Linked DNA regions of Mus musculus. The protein of the gene in region 1 purifies or fractionates together with the protein of each later gene. This does not show direct contact. Links are inferred from orthologs where the notes say so. Each region holds a gene or a part of one and is shown in the gene's direction. Other genes may lie near its edges. The genes, in order: Ppp1r12a, Rhoa, Rpa1 and Ppp1cb.

Evidence for each region.
Region 2: the proteins of Ppp1r12a (region 1) and Rhoa fractionate together in Homo sapiens (co-fractionation; 3 studies listed by BioGRID and IntAct, with this or other methods). This does not show direct contact. The link is inferred for Mus musculus from reciprocal best matches to the Homo sapiens genes PPP1R12A and RHOA.
Region 3: the proteins of Ppp1r12a (region 1) and Rpa1 fractionate together in Homo sapiens (co-fractionation; 3 studies listed by BioGRID, with this or other methods). This does not show direct contact. The link is inferred for Mus musculus from reciprocal best matches to the Homo sapiens genes PPP1R12A and RPA1.
Region 4: the proteins of Ppp1r12a (region 1) and Ppp1cb purify together in Homo sapiens (affinity purification with mass spectrometry; 6 studies listed by BioGRID and IntAct, with this or other methods). This does not show direct contact. The link is inferred for Mus musculus from reciprocal best matches to the Homo sapiens genes PPP1R12A and PPP1CB.

Annotation. Positions count from the first base shown.
Region 1 is NC_000076.6:108,160,181-108,165,464, forward strand, and holds the start of Ppp1r12a (protein phosphatase 1 regulatory subunit 12A), read left to right. Parts: upstream 1-1,917; 5' UTR 1,918-2,219; coding exon 2,220-2,456; intron 2,457-5,284. UniProt on the Homo sapiens protein: Key regulator of protein phosphatase 1C (PPP1C). Mediates binding to myosin. As part of the PPP1C complex, involved in dephosphorylation of PLK1. Capable of inhibiting HIF1AN-dependent suppression of HIF1A activity.
Region 2 is NC_000075.6:108,304,718-108,308,959, forward strand, and holds the start of Rhoa (transforming protein RhoA precursor), read left to right. Parts: upstream 1-1,442; 5' UTR 1,443-1,836; intron 1,837-2,079; exon of another isoform or gene 2,080-2,359; intron 2,360-4,242. Other genes in the region: Tcta (T-cell leukemia translocation-altered gene protein homolog), read right to left, coding at 609-711, 1,005-1,227. UniProt on the Homo sapiens protein: Small GTPase which cycles between an active GTP-bound and an inactive GDP-bound state.
Region 3 is NC_000077.6:75,299,149-75,304,041, reverse strand, and holds the end of Rpa1 (replication protein A 70 kDa DNA-binding subunit), read left to right. Parts: intron 1-1,287; coding exon 1,288-1,374; intron 1,375-2,638; coding exon 2,639-2,737; 3' UTR 2,738-3,783; downstream 3,784-4,893. UniProt on the Homo sapiens protein: As part of the heterotrimeric replication protein A complex (RPA/RP-A), binds and stabilizes single-stranded DNA intermediates that form during DNA replication or upon DNA stress.
Region 4 is NC_000071.6:32,457,296-32,462,532, forward strand, and holds the start of Ppp1cb (serine/threonine-protein phosphatase PP1-beta catalytic subunit), read left to right. Parts: upstream 1-1,674; 5' UTR 1,675-2,060; coding exon 2,061-2,112; intron 2,113-5,237. UniProt on the Homo sapiens protein: Protein phosphatase that associates with over 200 regulatory proteins to form highly specific holoenzymes which dephosphorylate hundreds of biological targets.

The DNA of each region.
Region 1 (5,284 bases):
AGCAAATAAATAGACAGAATGTTCTCAGAAAACAAGGAAAAGTCAGTTTTCTCTAGGTAGATAGGAGAGCTGGTAAGAGTATACTCAATTCTTTTCTTTGATTGGGAGGGCCATATTCTGTGCATAGGGATTTTATAGTTTCACGTTAAGAAAATTCATGACCCTGCTCCATGGTGGTAGCACACAGATTTAATCCCAGCACTTGGGAGGCAGAGGCAGGCCAATTTCTGAGTTTGAAGTCTACAAAGTGGGTTCCAGGACAGCCAGATCTACATGGAGAAACCGTATCTGGAAAAGAAAGAGAGAGAGAGAGAGAAAGAGAGAGAGAGAGAGAGAGAGAGAGAGAGAGAGAGAGAGAGAGAAGAAGAAGAGGAGGAGGAGGAGGAGGAGGAGGAGGAGGAGGAGGAGGAGGAGGAGGAGGAGGAGGAGGAGGAGGAGGAGGAGGAAGAAGAAGAAGAAGAAGAAGAAGAAGAAGAAGAAGAAGAAGAAGAAGAAGAAGAAGAAGATGATGATGATGATTCAGTACCAAACACCACTGTTCTCATTGTTGTGCAGAGGTCTAGTGGTATGATCCTCAATACATTTTATGAAGATATAGATGTATTTCATGTGTGGCACACTCGTTTTGTGTTTCAAGGAAGTAGTTTTATCTTAGCTTGGATTTTATTACTATTCCTAACATTGAAATTCAGAATATTCAGTTCTATAAGGTGGTTCCCCCAGCATATTTTACTCAGTTATTCTAATCTACCAGAAAGGCAACATGCTGAAGAGTAAGAAAATAACTTTTCACTGCTGTATTCCCAGCACTGGGAGGCGGTTAGGGGCAAGGCAACTATTTTCTTTGGGGGTGGGGGGGTTCACAGTCTACAGGATTCCCAAAAAGGACCAGTGGTAGGGTTTTATGACATTATAGATCTAAAGTGTATGGGACGGGAGAGTGTTTAGAAAAGGCAAAGCTAAAATCTCCTTATGATGTTCTTTGCAACACAAGAATTTAAGAAATGGGCTCAAATAAATCGTATTTACTGTATTTTCAGAGCCTAGGAAGTCACGACTTTTTAGACATGTACTGGATAAATATCAGTCGAAGTAACTGCCTTCGTCCACATTCCTTTTGAATTCTAGACGCAGCCGGGTCTTTACTCCATAGAAAGCAATGGAGCTGAAACCGTAAATCCCTTAAAAGGTCAGGAGCAGTTAACAAGGCTGAACTAGCCCTCATGGGCAGTGCCACCCAGGCCGAAAAGCGATGGAGGAAGAAGAAATCAAAACAGGCTTAAAGACGGGGGAAAAACAAAACAACAATACTGAGCAAGCCTAAGAGGAAAGACATTTCTGCAGTGGGTGTTTGCAGGAAGCCACTGCAATTAACCGCAGGTCACCATCCCCTGCCAGTAGGCGATCACCTCGGTCAATGCCACCGGGGCCGTGGAGACGACTCCGACCCCACTTTTAAAACGCTCTCATCAGGATCGCCCGGGTTTCCCCCCGAGTTCCTCGGGAAGAGCAACCCCCACAAGCACCTAATGCACGACCCGTGTCCTCTCCATTCAAATCACGCAGCCAATAGGAAAACCCTCCGCCCCGGGCAGACGCCTCGCGCGGCCCGCCGAGCCCGGGAGGAGGCAGGCAGGTCAGCCCGGTCCCGCCTCGCCGCCCGACCCGGCTGCCTCTAGAGCTCTCGGTCCCGCCGGACGAGACAACCTTCCTTCCCGGCCTCCTCCCTTCCAGGAGCGGCCCAGCCCCCGGCTGCCAGAGCCACACCCGCTTCCCTCCGGTAGCGCCCCCGCCAGCGCTCGGCCCCCGAGCTCTTCCTGGGCCGGGCCGAAGCCGAGGCCCAGGCCGAGGCGGGAGCGCGCATGCGCACTGGGCCGCAGGGCGCCTCCCCGGCCGCGATCTCGCGAAGTTACGCTCAGCCGGGCCGCGGCTGACGGACTGACGGGCGGGCGGCCGTGCCGGGGGCGGGAGGGCGTCTGTGGTAGGAAGAGAGGCCCGCTCGGCCGGGCTCGCCCCAGTGCTCTGTGGGATACTGGAAGTCTCGAGCGTCTCCTCCCCGGCTCGCGGCTCCGCTCCGCTCCGGCCCCTCTCTCTCTCTCTCTCTCTCTTTCTGTCGCCGACGCGGTCGCATACTCCCCCCGGCGGCGTCCCCTCGCCGCCGCCGCCCCCTTCCCCCCCGCCCCAGCTCGCGATAAGAGGAGCCGGCGGCTGGAGAGGGGATGAAGATGGCGGACGCGAAGCAGAAGCGGAACGAGCAGCTGAAGCGCTGGATCGGCTCCGAGACGGACCTCGAGCCGCCCGTGGTGAAGCGCCAGAAGACCAAGGTGAAGTTCGACGATGGCGCCGTCTTCCTCGCCGCCTGCTCCAGCGGCGACACGGACGAGGTCCTCAAGCTGCTGCACCGCGGCGCCGACATCAATTACGCCAATGTGGACGGACTCACCGCCCTGCACCAGGTCTGTGTGCCCGGCGTCCCCTCATCCGGACCCCGGAACCCCGGGGCCCGCTGTGGTGCTCGCGCCCGGGGCCGGGGCTGAGGCCGGGGGGTGGCGGGAGACTCCCTGCTTGCGGGTGAGGGGGCGGCTCCGTCGCGGGAGGCTGGCTGGGGCGCGGGGCTCCGGGCCCCCCTCCAGAGCCGCTCGCCCGCAGCCTGTGCAGTTTGGGGGGGGACCCGGCCGATGTTCCTGGGCGCGGGGCAGAATGGACTGTGGTCCTCTTGGGGGCCTCCAGGGCCATTTGTGGACATGTGTCTGGGTCTGGTAGTCTGGGTCAAGCCGAGCCGGAGAGTAATGGGTTGTGCCGAGGCCCGGTGTCAGTGATAGACCGTGGGGCGGGGAGGGTTGTTGAAAAAAAAAAATCCACTAACAGGGACTCTTGGGGCAGATGGAGCCCACTGGCCTGGAGGTGGGCATTGGTGTTGGTGTACATTTTTAGGACTTGATTACAAATGAGGATGATGATATTAGTGATCCCGAACCCTTAAAGCCCGAACCCTTAAAGCCGGGTGCCCCGAGCGAACGATTTCCTGTTTTCTCCTTTATTACTCTTGGTCACTGGGGAGGGGGAAACGGGGTGTAATTAGCTAATCCGGAGTGGCTGAAAGAGAGGGGATTGGTAGTGAATCTGATAAGGGAAGTCTTCCCGAGTGGGCTTGCCCACCTCGTAACTGGAGTCTATGGGTTCCTGTACTCGAAGTTGGTCGCAGTCACAGATCCCTGAGTCCTGGCTCCTGGAGTGCACACCGGGGCTAGGGAAGATGGGAATAAACACTGTGTACTCCTCAAAGACAGTTGCCAAACTTTATTATTATTATTTTTTTATTTTTTGGTGGTGGTGGTGGGGAGGGGGAGAGAAAAAAAAAAAACCAAAGCTAATCACAACCTTTTCTCAAAATGGATGCTTTGTGCATGTTAAAGTTTTATAGTAGTCCGATTGGGATCTCTCAATGTTAGCCAAATAAGGAGAAACTATTGGCAATCCAGAGATAATGTTGCTTTGCCTTTAACAAGCCAAAAGCAACAGAACCCTTAGAGTTCTGCTTGAAAAGCAAGTTTAAAGTGCTGGTAATAGATGCCACGACAGATTCTTTCTATTTTCATATTAAGAAACTTGGAATTACTAGGAAATTTACAGTGAAAAAGAATTTTCCCGCTCCCCTCAGACTCCTCTTGGTTGTGTGGGAGAGCATAGCTCTATTTTGAATAATAGTGTGGTTAAAAACAGAGGTTGAAACCTAAGGCTCCGCACTTTGTACCTAAACTTTATTATTTTGTGCCTGTTAACTTTATACCTTTTAAAAAGACATGGTATGGAGGCATTTTCCTTTTATTGTTTCCTGCTTTAATAAGTGATGACCATTTAAAGTTTTATTTAATCAAATTCACATATCAAGCTTGGCGTAGCCTTTGTTTACAAAGCTGACTGGAAGGGCTGAAGTGCCTGACAATCTGCAGGACAGATCTGGAATTTAGAATGGCACCAAAGGAAAATATAGGGTGGTTCTCTAATGTAATGCAAAGTTCATTTGCTTACAGCTTAAGGCACATTATAAATCTAGATCTGGAAACATGGTTTTGAGAAGGAAATCACCTTCAGCATTAAAAATTTTTATCATATAACATTAAAAAAATAATCTTCTTTTTTCACATGTCCTTGGCAAGTTTAAATGAGAAATTGGTTCTGAGACACACTTAACTATATGTCAGAATAATTGGATAGTGGTTTATATCAGCATGTTTTCTAAAACTAAGTAGAAGTGTGAAGTTTATTCCCTTTGGAGAATTGTACTGGCTTAGAGGAAGAAGACAATGTCTAACATTTTTTTTTAATGTTGCAGTACTAGTTTAGATAGTTGAAAAGACAAGAAATTGGCTTTTAAAGGCTTGTGTTTAACAGTTTTTACTTATTTAAAGAAGCCAGACTTAATGATATCTTCTTGATTAACTGAATTCAGTGGTTTAGTGAATGTAGGTATAGTCTCTATGACTGCATATTTTGTTTGAGTTGACAGGAGATGTTTCTAAGTTTATGCCATTTGTATAAAGCATTTTTATTTGCAGTTGGTGTGGAGCACGTTCCTTAAATCAAAGAAGCCAAAGTCCCTAAAAGATGAAGCATTGTGGGGCTGGAGAGATTGCTTAGTGGTCAAGAGCAGTGGCTGTCCTTGGAGAGGTCCTAAGTTCAATTCCCAGTACCCACATGGCAGCTCACAACTGTCCTGTAACTCCAGTTGCAGAGGATCCAATACCCTCAAAAACATACATGCAGGCAAAACACCAATCTATGTTAAGTAACTGATTTTTAAAACGCAGCATTGAGCCGGGCAGTGGTGGCGCATGCCTTTAATCCCAACACTTAGGAGACAGAGGCCAGCTAGATCTACAGAGTGAGTTCCAGTAGCCAGGTCTATACAGAGAAACCCTGTCTCAGGAAAACAAAACAAACAAAGGCAGCATTGAAATGTTTGTGTTTTCTGTATTGCTCTCCTTTTCTCATACTTGTTTTCCATTATGACTGTGAAGGTAAGGACTTCACTTTGAGCGAATTAGGGACACACCAGTTAGTGAGATGTGAGAAGTGGAACCCCTGTGCTCCTCTTCATGGGATCTTAAGCTTTTCAGAGTCTCTCCAGTGACAATCAGCACTTGTCTTCTTTAGCTGACAATAAAAAGACTGACTTGGTGACTGGTCCTTAAATATTTTAATTCTGTCAAAAGATCACAAAATATCGAAAGTCTTTTACCAGTCTAATTTTTCTTTAGTCTGTTTACATATTTATTCACTC
Region 2 (4,242 bases), on another chromosome or scaffold:
GGTTTCTCTGTGAAGCCCTGGCTGTCCTGGAACACACTCTGTAGACCAGGCTAGCCTCGAACTCAGAAATCCACCTGCCTCTGCCTCCCAAGTGCTCAGATTAAAGGTGTGCGCCACCACTGCCTGGCAGAGTCTGAGTTGTCCTTGTTTTCTGGTGTACTGTGACCTCTGCCGTGTGGTAGAAGCTCAGAGATTAGCTGAATGAAATGTCCTGATAAGTAAGCTGTTGTTTTTAGAGATTAGGAGGTTGACTTGATGAGGTCGTATGCTAAGAATAGAGACTGTTAGGCTGGGGGTTATAGCTCCAGTGGTACAGTACTTGCCTAGAATAGATGTTCTTGCCTTCCTAAAGAAAGACTTCCCAACCAAGGGATTTGTTTTCAATAGACCTGGCACATCACCTTTCTGAAATTAAGGTAACACCACCATCCATCCCCACTGAACATGCTGATGAGAGGCTCTAAAGCCACTGGGAACCCCCAACTGGAATCCTGAGCTCTACCATTAGCCTTGAAGGATTCTTGCACAGCCACTAAGCTGGTGCACTCACATGCTGAGAGTTCTCTGCCTGTCAAGCATGGGGTTGGGATAGACAGAGATTTACTCACCATGAAGAGAAATGTGTGGAGCCATCAGGTGTGGATCCATTCTGGCCACCCAGACCTGGAGGCAGGAACACACCCATAGCTGCAGGAGGCTGAGGGTGGGGATCTGAGCAGGCAATAGCCCAGGTCAGGTCAGGGGCCACTGGTATAGTTTAATAGAGATTGAGGCTGGGATACTAGGGACTAGTGGTATTGTCCAGGAAGGGTTTTGAGAAACAGTTAACAACGTGATGATGGGCATGAGGGGCTTGTGGTGTAAAATGGTACGGGGTTGTAAGTCTGGGTACAGTGAGGCTCCTGGAGGACCAGTGGTAGTCTATGTGGACACAGGAGAACCCAATGGTACAGTATGGTGGTGGTAGGGACAGCCGGGCCAAGGAGGTTCGTAGGGAGCCTCACCTGGACGGTGATACAACCCGGTCACTGTGTTCCCGTAGAACCCCCAGGCCAGCTGGATGCCCAGGAGACTTAACACCAACCACAGCAGGAGCAGCTTGAAGAGAGTCACTCGCATGTCTTGTGTCTCCCACTCCCGCAGAAAGTCGCTGCCCAGGGTGCCCAGCGCTCCGAGCACCGTGGCGGGCAAAGCTTGCAGAAACTGCCCGGCCCAAGGCTCCGCCATGACTGGCCAGCGCCCCACCGGGAGTACTGTCACCGTAGTTCTTACTGCGCAAGCGTATGGTCTTCCGGGGTTAGGCCTGTCAGTGCGCACGCGTAATACAAGGCAAGGAAGATCTACTTCGCTTGCGCGAAGTGTTGGCAGTTTGGGGAGGGGTTTTTAAAACCGCGCAGGCGCACCCAGCCCCACCCTGCTTGCTTAAAGGATGAGTGATTCGGTGAGGATAAAATAGCAACTCGCTCTTTTATAGCCCCGGTGTTCCCGTCATGCTCCACGCGTCTGCCATGATTGGTTAAGCGTCTAGCTCTCAGGGCGTGGATGCGTTCTTGAGCAATCGTGGCTGAACTGAGAGTGTGCGCGCGTGCGCGGGGCCGCGACTGGCGCCAGCTCGAGCCCGCAGGGCGCTCGGGGCCGCGCACGTCGCTCCCCGCCCTCCCGCCACCGCCCGCCCTCGTTCGCTCGCGCTCCCCGCCCGCCGCCCGCGGTCCTCCGTCGGTTCTCTCCATAGCCCGCCGTCTCCCACGGAGCTGCCCGTCCTTGGCTCGGAGCTCGCGGACTCGCGGACAAGCGTCCTCAGCGCGAAGAGGCCGGACTCGGAGTCCTCGCCTTGAGGTGAGCAGGAGCATTTCCCTCCAGCCGCCTCGGCTCCGGGCCCGGCTGGTCGGCTGATCGGCAAGCACTTTTCCGGCCTCCGGCCCGTCGCCTGCCCGCGGTCGCGCCCCACCTGCTGCTCTCGGCCCGCAGCCCCTCGCCCCGGCCCCTGACCTGGGGCCCCGCGCCCGAGGCGGCGGCCCCGCCCGCGCAGTCCCCGGAAGCGCGCCCCGCCGCCTCCAGTCCCCCTTCCCCCGCCCGGCCGGGCCTGGTGGAGCCCTAGCCGCCCGCCCTCCTCGTCGCTTCCTCTCAGGGTTGCGCCGGGCTGGGCGGGGGCTCCCGGCCGGTCCGCGACCGCGCTGGGGTAGCCTGCCACTGCGAAGCGCGTGTGGCTGTCGGGAGTTGGACTAGGCAAGAAACTCTTTTACAACTCCATTTTGCCTTTTGCATTGAACGTGGATTATTAATCCCGTTCTATACCGGGTGAAGACAGTGAGGGTTTGGGTGGATTTTCTGTTTTGAGTGCCGTATTATTGGAGATTGTGTAAGTAAAAGATTGTTTTGAAATCTTAGCGGTTATGACTCTATGGGGGAAGGTATTTTCCAGTCGAAAAAACACATAATAATTTGGCGAGGTTGCATCAAAATAGATGCATTTCTGCTTAAAGTTATTACTTCAATTAAGAATCACTGATGGGTTCCCCTTTTCAGGTCGGTTTCGTAAAATTGCATTTTTTGCAGGCAAGTTGATTTAAAAAAAAAAAAGTTCATGTTTAGTAGCTGATAGTGGAAAATTTGACACCATTTTTTTTCTTTTTTGCCCCAGAATTGGTTCTACTTGTATTTTCTAATAGTCATCACTAAATTTTGACCTATTAGTTATTTATTTGGTTTTGTCTTCTGGTATATTTTGAAATAAGTGCTTTTTGCATGTTATATATAACATTATATATGTATAATATGTAGTACACGTATAATGTACATCCCCCATGCCAGTCTGAAAGGGGAAAACTTATATTTTAGGATGCGGTATGTGGTGAGAATTTTTAGCCACTTAGTGTCACGTGCCCAAATGTGTATGTACCATGTGGAATGTTTTTTTCACCTTTCATTGGCTAGTTTGAGCATTTGACTCACGTATTATTAAACTAAGAAAACAAGATCAGGTCTTAATATTGAAGACTCTGAGATGTTGTTTGGAGTATTTCTCCGGAGCAGTGACGTTTCTTAGGGACATAAAATATATGGAGCTTGTTTTTTTCCTATTTTATTTTCCTCTTTGGTGTTGGCTTGGGACACAGTGAACAGGTGCTGTATCTCTGAGCTGCATTTCAGCCTTACAACTTGGGATCAAACTCTAGTGCTCAACTTACATAGCTTCTACTCAAAAATCTACTGAACAGGAGAATAGGAACATCCACTCTACTGATTGTACCCCCAATAGATGTAGTATTTTAGACTGGGGAGGAAAAAAAAAACTTTAGGATTTACAAACCAATTCCGTTTGTAGGTGTGGGAACTGAGCTTAGGGAATTTTTTTCTCTTTCCTTCTGTGTGTGTGTGTGTGTGTGTGTGTGTGTCTGTCTGTCTGTCTCTCTCTCTCTTTCTTGAGAAAGGCTTATTACTCCGCAGAGAGAACAGTGGGTGTGATAATACCAGAAGAACCACTGACCTAAGACTTAATTTAAAAAAAAAAAAAAAGACACTGGGTCTGACCTGAGACCTGGAACTTAATTTGTAGATAAAGCTGGTCTCTAATTTCCACATGCTCCTAGTGCTGCCTCCGGAACAGTGCTGGGATCACTGGGTGTGTGCCACCATTCCTGCTGAGACTTAAAATGTTTGAAGGTCATACATCTAGTTAGACTACAACTATTTTTTTTTCTGTTATTCTCCATGTGCTGTCAGTTAAAATCAGAATTTCCAGGTTACTTCAGGTTCTTTACCATGCAGATTATGCATATTTGGGAAACAAATTTCATGTTTTTGTAAGTAGTTCCTTTCTGGCTAGGCCTTGCCTTTGAGTGTGTTGGTTTTCTTAAGGACCGGGTTTTGAGAGTTTACTGTTAGCAAAGATAAGGTAATGAGGTCCAGCTAGAATGTTTTCAAGACTCCTTTGAGTCAGTTTTAAATGGAATTGGTGAGAATTTGCATGTATCAAGTAGACCATGGTCTGTACATGTGTGAGAGTGGTTTTGTTGGAGTGATTTCATAGTCCTTTAAAAAGTCCATCTTGCTCTATTAGGGGTGTAAGTAAGTTACTAGAAGAGTGAAAACAGATCTTCAGAGCTGGGTGTGGTGGCACACGCCTTTAATCCCAGCAGGCGGATTTCTGAGTTCGAGGCCAGCCTGGTCTACAAAGTGAGTTCCAGGACAACGAGGGCTGCACAGAGAAACCCTGTCTCGGGAATAAAAAACAAAAACAGA
Region 3 (4,893 bases), on another chromosome or scaffold:
GTCTTCAGACACTCCAGAAGAGGATCTTGTTGCGGATGGTTGTGAGCCACCATGTGGTTGCTGGGATTTGAACTTTGGACCTTTGGAAGAGCAGTCGGGTGCTCTTACCCACTGAGCCATCTCACCAGCCCCCAGTTTTTGTTTTGTTTTACTTGGCGACAAGTTTTTACTATGTAGACCCGGAACTCACAAAATATCCACCTGCTTCCCGGTGCTGGAGGTAAAGGACTTCCAGGCCCAGCTTCTGCTCCGTTTTTATTTAGTTTCAGTACAAATGTTTTACCTGCAGGGATGTGGGGCCGCTTTCCTGCCTGGTGCCTGAGGAGGCCAGGAGAGGCTGTCAGATCCTGGTTGTGAGTGACCTAGTTGGTGCCAGGAAAGGGCCACCATGTGTGTGTTAACCACTAAGCCATCTCTCCTGCCTCTCCTACCCATTTCCTGATTCATGCTGGGGCTCAGATAGCTTCCCCAACAAGTATTCCAAATTTTAGAAATGTGTTCCTAAGATTACTTAAAATTTTTTACTTGTGGTAAAAGACACATAAGCATAGCCATTGTATGGGATTTTTATAACCATTTTGGATACACACACATACATACATACACACACACACACATGCACACACATACATACACACCACATACACATACATACACACACACACACACACACACACACAATATGGCATTAGCCATATTCACGTCATCGGGCCCTAGCTCCACTTTCCATCTCTTCCCGCCCTGAAGCTCTGCCCATTGAGCAGCGTCCTCCGTTCCCTGGCACAGGCACAGGGCTCTGCTTCTGTGAATTGACTTAGTCACGTCCGTTCTCAGTACCCACAAGTCTGCAGCTGAGGTTAGAAGTGTCTGGGGAGTGGATTGCCCATTACTGACCATGTGCAGGTTATTTTTCCCATCGCTGTTCATTGGCCAGGCCCTGTAGCGCTCACATGGTACTTATGTTTGATATTATAAGTAAGCTAGAGGTGATGCCCAGCATACAGGAAGTGTGTGTGGTGTCTGCGTAAGCAGCCATGTTACGTAGCAAGCTTGATTATCCTTGAAGTTGGGTGTCTGCTGGCAGTGGGTTCCCTGGCACAGTAGTTAATGCTGAAGGGAGCACAGTACTCCTCCAGAAGGAGTTTTGTTTTTTAATAAAATTCTCCTTAAGCAGTTTTGTCATTAGCCATTCCTCAGTGATTTCAACCCTTCAAGATGACAATTTCTCAGTCTCTTCAGCAGTCTAATGGGTGTTTTCCAGTAGTTCCCATGTCTTGTTTTTTGCAGAACGAGCAGGCGTTTGAAGAGGTTTTCCAGAATGCCAACTTCCGGTCATTTACGTTCAGAATCAGGGTCAAGCTGGAGACCTACAATGTAAGTAAGGTTCCTGGGGCCGAGGGCTGTGATGGGAAGTTGCTGTTTGTTGTACACTGCGGCATTTCAGCTCAGTTTCCGGGACTTACCCACGGGGTGAGAGTTGCGGCGGGTGTTCGCACTGCCAGCTCTTGTGTGGAAGCCGACTTAGGGAGGAGATCGTCTACAGCCTTCTCTGTTACAGCCTTCAGAGACCTTTGTTTTCTGTGTACTTTCCGAAAATGTTATGTGTGGACTCTTGTTTCCCACAGTTTAGGTTCTAAAACTCAGAATATTAAACAAATAGCACGTGCTGGTAAAAGTGCCCCACCTGACAAGTGTTTAAACTAATCCTGATGTCCAGAGCTGCATAGCCATGATGAACCCTGCTTACTGGACAGTCCGTCCTGCCCCATCTATCTAGCCATCTATCCACTGTCGACCCTCACAGCACTTTCTGTGTTGGAGCTGTTGTTGCAAGCTTTACCAACGGAGAGACAGGCAGAGGCATGCAGAGAATGACTCTGAACCTAAAGCCATGGAGTGGCAGAGGCGAGAGGCCAACCCAGGCAGTCGGGCTCCTAACCATACTTGTAAACAGCGGTGCATGTAGTAATTAATTACTAAGCACATGGAAGCATGAAGGCCCCCAGCTAGACTTGTGTGTCCCTAGGTGTCACCCTGTTCTGCCTCAAAGACACTGTTTAGTTCAAGGAGACAAGTGGAGGAGGAACTCTGCCGTCTCCCCTGCAGCCGCAGAGTTTGTGCATTCTGCGTTATCACCAGCTTAGTGCCTGTGAATAGATATTTTAGTTGTTGTATTAAATGAACATAGGTAGGCTGGTGTCAGAAAGTCGGGTAGATCAAGGGAGAGTGTAGGGATTTTCTGTCTTCCTGGGATGGACAGGAATGGTGAAGAGCAGAGAAGTAACCTTGCCCAGAGCTGGAGCAGAAGCCTCAGTCCCTACTACCACAGAGCTCCTCTAGATGAAAGTGATGCTTTAGGGTGAGTTACCTGTCTGCTCTGGGCCCCCACTGCACCCATAGAAAGACAGAGGCTTCTCCGGGAGGATGCTAGGTCTGAGCACAGGGCACCTAGGATGGGGAAAGGGTCTGTGGAAGAGGATCTGGCCCAACTCCAGGAAGTCACAGCACTTTCTCTCTGAGACTTGTAAACTTTCCTTCTTCCTGCTGGACTCATTGAAGCCACTGAAGCAAAGAAAGTTCTCTCTTCCGCTGCACGCCAGGCTCTGCCACTCACAAACAGCTTCTCTCTTTTCTAAAGGATGAATCTCGAATTAAGGCCACTGTGATGGACGTGAAGCCCGTGGACTTCAGAGACTATGGCAGACGGCTGATCGCGAACATCAGGAAGAACATGTGATGGGAGCAAGTACCACTGGTGGCCAGAACGGAAGAGAGAAGAACAGAAATAGAATGGCTTCCTTCCCGCCCCATGGGACAGCTCCACAATGAAGATCCTCTAGGGGAGGCTGGCAACCCATCTGGGCCCCTCTTGGGACTCACTGATAAGCAAAGACAGTGAGCTCAGAGGGCTGTGTGTGAACCTTCCGCTCCAGTTCTCAGCCACCGGTAGTGTGGCAGCAGTCCCCTCCTCCTGCCTTCCGGCTTTGTCGGATTTCATGAAATTTTGTTATCTTCAAACAGAAATTATGTCACAAGTCATTAACCCCACTCTGGATAATGAGGCAAATTATGTAACCTGGAGTGTGCTTTTCCAGTGGTGGCACCTTTTTGTCTTGAGTTCCTCCTGGGGGGAGAAGAGTAGGGGAGAACCCAGGTGTTCAGAGGGTGCGTCTGCCTGGAATCAAAGGGTCTGTTTTGCAGAGTTACTGCATGGTTGTTAATGCTTAGAATGGCAACAAGGTAGAATTATTAATCAAAGGCCTATCGTTAATATCTGAATATCCTTCCTTCAGGGTTTGATAGGTTTAATAGACTGAGTCAGATGACTCTGATATTAATCAGAATTGTCTCCTCTGAGGACGGCTGATAAGCACTGGCTTGCTGTCCCCTTGGGGAAAAGCAAACCCCCAAATTGCATAATTTACTTCATTATCCACATAGTGGGGTCAGTTACTTGAGACACAATCCCTGTTTGAAGATAACAGAATCTTAGTAAATCCGACAAAGCCTGCAGACAGAGGTGGCACTGGGACATCCAGGCTGCTACAGAGCATGGCTTCAGTTTGCATCAGTTACCGTTCGGTTGCCAGGCGGACCTGTGTACCTTTATTAAAGCTATGTTAAATAGAATTTAAGAAAGAAGCTTTGTTTCCTTTGCTTTGTTTGAATAAACAGTATATCTTTGTGGATCCTACTTTCTTTGACTGTAAAGGATTCTTGTAACTGGAAAGCAATTAATTAGCCTTCATAATAAATATTCACTAGGGAAAGATGTTAACTCATTACAGACTCAGAGATTAGACTGAGGCCTGGAGATGATTCTCACTAATGTTTGCAACCCTGGAATGCATCTTTAAATGAATGAAAACACAAAAGGAAAGGCGATTGAGCCCAGGAACACCGATGATCTGGCCCCTCGGGGTTGGATTGATGTTTACGCGGCAGCCTAACACCAAGCCAACTCTGAAACGTGGAGACCGTGATCGAGGAAGAAAACAGTCATTACACTGCGAGGCTTTTCATTCGGCAAGAGCATGCCTGCTCAGTGTGTTCCTAATCATATTAATTATCTCTGGTTGCTGCAGCCCACCTCTTGGCATCTGCTGCACATCTCTGCCAGAATCCAGGCAGCATTGCAGTCCCCCAGCATCTTCAGGCCTGGCCTGTGATGTGTGCACTTCAGCTTGCCATGGCTTTGTGGTGCCAAGGGGTCACAGCACCCCATGTTTCAGTTGCTTTTCTTAGTGCTATAACAGTATCTGTGGAAAGCAAGTTACTGGAGAAATGGCTGCTGCTGGCTCACAGTTTGTACCATCCTTAACGGTGAGGAAGGTAGGGGACTCTCACTGTGGCAGCCAGTTACATTTTATCTGTTGTCAAGAAGAGACCAGGAGGTGAATGCTAGTGCTCTGTGTGTGTGTGTGTCGTGTGTGGGAACTGTCCAGTGCCCTGCCGCTGGCCTGAAGCTTGATACTGGAGCTAGACTAGCTGGCCAGCACATGCCAGGGGCCAGGCTGTGGTCCTAATACTTGGAAACACTACCAGCTGAACTTCCTCCCATTTTCCCTTTATTCAGTCTGGACCCCTGGGCCACCCATGGGTGTTGCCCATACTCAGTCAGGGTGGGTCTTTATTAAATCTCTGGAACGGCCCTCACAGACCAGTCTCCCAGATATTACTTTAAATCCAGGTATGTGGATTTAGATCGATGCACCCTGTCTGCCCTGTCTGTCTGCTCCTCGGCTGTCCTGTTTTTGAGGCACCATCTTCCCTATGTAACCCAAGCAGGTCTCGGGCTTGAGCTTTCTTCCTTCGTCTCATACACTAGAAATACAAGCATCGACCACCATACCCAGCTTGTTTGTTTTGTTGGGGACAGTCTTCAAGTGGGTA
Region 4 (5,237 bases), on another chromosome or scaffold:
TGTAGTCCCATTGGACGGGGGTACCCTTTTTAGCATGTCTGCATATAATTGAACTTTAGTTGTGGATAAGACTTAAAAGTTCTTTTCCTTGGGACTTATAGGGCCCATAAAAACATAAGACATCTACATAAGCATTCCCAAGTATTCTGAATTCTTAAAGTCATGGAAGAGATAGATTTGGAGAAATGGCATCAAAATATCTACCTCCATTTGTAACTGGTGTTTCAGTTTCTTAGTTTCTAGAAAGCAGAGAGTCAACTTTTTAGCCCATCTTTTTCAAGTTAACAGAATCTTCCAGCGTGCATTTTGGAAATAAAGCCCCTGGTTTAATCTGATCTTTCCCATGCTTGGTTTCCTTTTTTTTTTTTCTATTTCCTTCTTTACTTTTAAAAAGTATTTTTATGCATATGAGTGCTTTGTCTGCATGTATGTTTGTGTACTATGTATAGTGCCCATAGAGAGGACCGAGAGGGCATCAGATGCCCTGGAACTGTTAGGTCTCAAACCTGGGACAAATGACAGAGGTACTTATTTAACATGTGAAAGTGGTTACTGGACCCAGGTTCTCTCAGCCATTCCTACCTGTTACAGGGTATGTATGGCATGCACACTCCCTGCCCTAATCTTCTCTTTCCCTCCCCCTCAGAGTCATGCTCGCTCTGAATATTCCCAGATGTCTTTCCTCCCAACTATGTTCTCCCATTTATCTCTAATAAACCTTTTTCTTCATCATACCTAGAAGCAATCATGTCCTTTTCTTTTTATTTTATTTTTATCAGAATCAAAATTACAGATAGATAGTTGTAACCATGTGGGTGCTGGGAATTGAACCCATGTCCTCTGCAAAAAAACAGGCAGTGCTCCTAACCTCTGAATCATCTCTTCAGTCCCTGTATTTGTTTTTAATTTATCCCAACTGCAAGCATTTATTATGTAGCTGAAGATGACCTTGGGCTTCTGGATCTTCTGCCTCCATCTCCCAGTTGTAGGGATTACAGGTCTCTTATGCCCGGTAAATGTGATTTTTATCCTCTAGGAACCGAGTGCAGTAGAGAAATGTTTAAAAATCACAAGATAAGAGAATTAAGCAATATAAGAAATCAATGAACAGAAAAGAACTATAGAAAAGTGGTATCCTGAGTGTATGGAGATGTCGGGAGCGTGTAAAATCTTATTGCTGTTGACTGAGGCCCACTTTGAATCCTGTTTCTTCTAGGGTCACCTGGCGAATCAGCGACTCTGGTGATGTGATACAGAGCCCTTGATCTGCAATGTCAATCTTTTTCAACAGAGAAGTCTCTTATCTCCAGCACACCTGGGTTTCCAACATAGGCAACTGAAACCCACGTTTCCGGGTTAGCGGAAATACGAGCAATTGTTTTGAAAACCAGTGACTGAAACCTAGAAAAGAAAAGCAAGGCGGGAAGAACGCAATAGTTAACTCTGCGGAACCACCAGGCCCTGGGGAGCAGGGAAGGAAGGTCATTCCAGCCTACGCCGGCTCTGCGTTCACAAGCAAGGCAGGCTCCGCCCTGCGCCTGCGTAGTGGCGACTGTTCGTTGCAGTGGAACGCCTGAGAGAGGGAATCGCTCCTGCGCGTTAGCAACCGCGGAGGGGAGGGCGGGGAGCTGGAGAGGCAGGAAGGGGACGTGGCGCGCGTGCGCGCAGTTCGGCGCGGCTAGGCGGCCCGCAAGGGCGGAGGGGAGGGAGTGACGCTGAGGGCGGGGCTGTCCGTGGCGCTGCCGAGCTTTGCGGAGCTGGGCGGTGCCGAGGAGGAGGTGGAGGAGGCGGTGGCGGCTGGGGTCTGACGCGGCCCGGTTCCTGACGCGGCCCGGTTCCTGGGGGCCTGCTTGTTTATTTATTTATTTCCAGTGGGCGCCGCCAGCGTGTGCGCGCGCTGTCGCTGCTCGGCGGGGAGGGGGTGGGGGGAGGGCCCGCGCCCGGGGGGAGTTGGAGCCGGGGTCGAAACGCCGCGTGACTCGTAGGTGAGAACGCCGAGCCGCCGCCGCCGCCGAGAAGCCCTGTTAACGCTTTAGGGAGGAGAGTCTGGTGCCGACAAGATGGCGGACGGGGAGCTGAACGTGGACAGCCTCATCACCCGCCTGCTGGAGGGTGAGTGCGGCGCCGGCTCGTCTCCCCACCCGGCCGCGGGGCCCTTCCCGCTCGAGCTGAGGTCGGAGAGGAGGGCAGGCGGGCGGGCGGGCGGGCGGGCCGGGTGCCCCAGGAGGCCAGGAGCGCGGGCTGGCGGGCGGGCAGGCGGGGAGGCCGGGCCGAGCGAGGCCGGAGGCCCATCGGCTGGTACAGTCTTCCCGAGAGGCGGCCGGGCTCCGCTTGGCCGCTGTGCTGGCCTCTGCAGACCGTTCCGAAGAAGGGGCGAGGATGCCTGCCGCTGGGCTTTGTGTGTCCGTGGAATGTGTATTTCTCGGTTCTCTTTGTGCGTTGCCCTTGGCAGCCTCCGATGGTCGTTCCGGTAGTGAATTTTACATAAAACCTTCCCAGTAAGGCTCTCGGATCGTTTGCATTTTACTGGATGCTCTAGAAAGAATTAGGGAGAGGATACGATGACTAGTTTACCATTTATTATCTGGAGTATAAAAAAACAGTAAAAATCCTGAATCAGGTTAAAGACGTCCGTTAGAAATACGAAACGCCCGGATACATGTGCTGAAGGGGTTGATTTGGGGGCTTTTTTTTTTTTTTAAACATGTTTGAGCCGAGTTTAATTTCTGCACAAACTTAGCAAATGTCTGTTGTGAATAATCTCTTGAGCTTAAAAGGTATTTTACAAGTGTTCTCAGCATTTGAAGTTCCGGGTTCTTATGCTTTTATCGATTAGTTTTGTGTTGGTGGGAACATAAGGAGAAAAGAGGAGATGGAGAGGCCAGTAGTTAAATGTATTGGTCCGTTGGGGGATACTGTTCGAAGTTAAAGGCGGGTCTTGGTCAAAAGAACCCTTTTACGCTATAAAATTTGCGTCGTCACTAATTGTGGAGTGTGTAAAAAAGAATTGCGTTTTTGAGTGGTTAAGAGTCCTTTTTGTCAGCCTCCTAATGAATGCGTGTGTTTACTACAGCGAAGCTGTTTGTGTTTGGAATTTTACCAAAGAGCGTGGAGAGGGGTGACTTTTCTTTAACTAGTTAAAGTACGAAGTATTTATTCTCTGTTTAAAACAACAACAACAACAAAACAACTCTGTTTATATGCTCCAGATGTAAAAGCTTTCCAGCAGCCTTAAGGCTGAGAAAAAGGCAGAACTTTTACCAGGAACTCTTTCTTATTTACCTTCTCCTTTAGTATCAAGTTATTCCTGGGAGGCCCCCTGGTGCTTGCTGTGTTTACTGCTTGGGATTTTGTGGTCTTTAATTGATAGAAACATCTTGCTGGGTCTGTGAGAAATTTGTTTAGTTAAAAAAAATTTATGCTTGTAGTACATGGCTGGCTCTATTAGGGAAATATAGTTATTTTAAATCTTTATATCTTGTTACTCTTCGGAGAAGGGGAATTTAAGCCCACCACTGTTTTCATATAATCTAAATTTTAAATTAAATTTGGATCAGATTTTATCGCAGTTTATTAATATTTTTAATTTTTCATAAATACCTTATAGCAGATGCATGTATTTTAAACCGATCTAGAAGCCTTTAAATCAAATGTACTTCTATACAGTTACAGATGCTTAAATACAACTAATAGAGTGGGAGTTGTAGAGAAAAAGGGGAAAGTAGCCTGAGCTATATCATTGTTAAATATTTGGTTCTATCATCAGTCACCAGCACCCACCAGTCCCCCCTTCTTGGGTAAGAATACGTTCTTTTTTTCTAATATAGCAAGTGTTTATTGACTGCACTGCCAGGCACCAGGAGTCAAAGATAAGGCTCACTCCTCACTCAAGCAGCTCAGTATAAACAAGTGGCTTCTCAGTGTGTGCTAGCCTTCCTGCTCTTCCTGCTTTGAATGTACAATTTATTAGTAGTTTTGTTACATTCTTGTTCCTTAATCCAGACGAAGACTGCTTTTGTTGTTACTCTAAAATATTACCAGTCCCTCCTTCCCTCCCCAAGCCTAAACCTGTTCAAATAAATTTTGAAGTCTTGGATTTTCTAGTGAGTAAATTCAATCTTGAAAAAAAAATTTTTTTTGAGACAGGGTTTCTCTGTACCTGGCTATCCTGGAACTTGCTCTGTAGACCAGGCTGCCTCAAACTCTGCCTCCCCAAATACTGGGAATTAGAGACATGCACCACCTCTGCCGGGCAGCCTACTTTAGTTTTCAGTATTACATGCTAATTTAACTCAAATTCAAGTGGTGCTATTCTGTAAAGTTGCCTCGCAGAACAGAATAACCTGGTTATATATTTTGTGCGTCCTAAATGAAAGTGAACATTAAAAGATACATAATTATAGTTAAAGATGTCTAGGTTATATATTTTGTGTGTCCTAAATGAAAGTGAACATTAAAAGATATGTAATTATAGTTAAAGACGTCTATCCATAGCAAGACTACAGTTAGTGGTCATTGTATTGAAAGTGTGAAGAGAACCTTCGAGAATGTGTGCTCTAAGGACCAGTATGATAAATATGACATCCTTGGTAGATAAAATGTGTGGATTCAGTGTGTTCAGCCATTTCACAGTGTATGCACTTAAAATATGTGTTCCTAAAAGATGCAGTGTTGTCTATCAATTAAAGATTGCTTTTGGCTGGGCAAAAAGTTGTGGCTTTAATCCCAGCACCCAGTAGGCTGAGGCAGGCAGATCTCTGAGCTCTAGACCAGCAAAACACAACAGGAAAAAAACCTTGCTTTTGTAAAAATGTTTTTTTGCATTAAGAGAAAAAAATTGATCAGAACCTAGTCTCATTTTAAAGTGTTTACTTTATGTTACAGTTTATTCATTTAAAAATATATTAAACTCTGATGGCCAGTTAAGTGCACTCACTTTCAGTAACTACTTTTTATGTTACTTTGTTCGATGTTAGACCATTTAAATAAAAAGACTAGAACATTGTTTGGACTGGGTGTGCTTCTCCAGTATTATTTTCTTGGTTTAAGTTTTACTTACAACTAAACAATAACTGTTTTGCCATCTGTAGTGACCCTACTATAGTCTTGTGATTTATCATAATTGATTACATAAGTTCAGATTAGTTCTGTGAGTGAGCTAGAAAGCCTGCCTAGTAAAAGGTTTTGCTTAGAGTGGTTGTTCTCTAGATATTTGAAGAGGAAGTGGGAGTCACCTG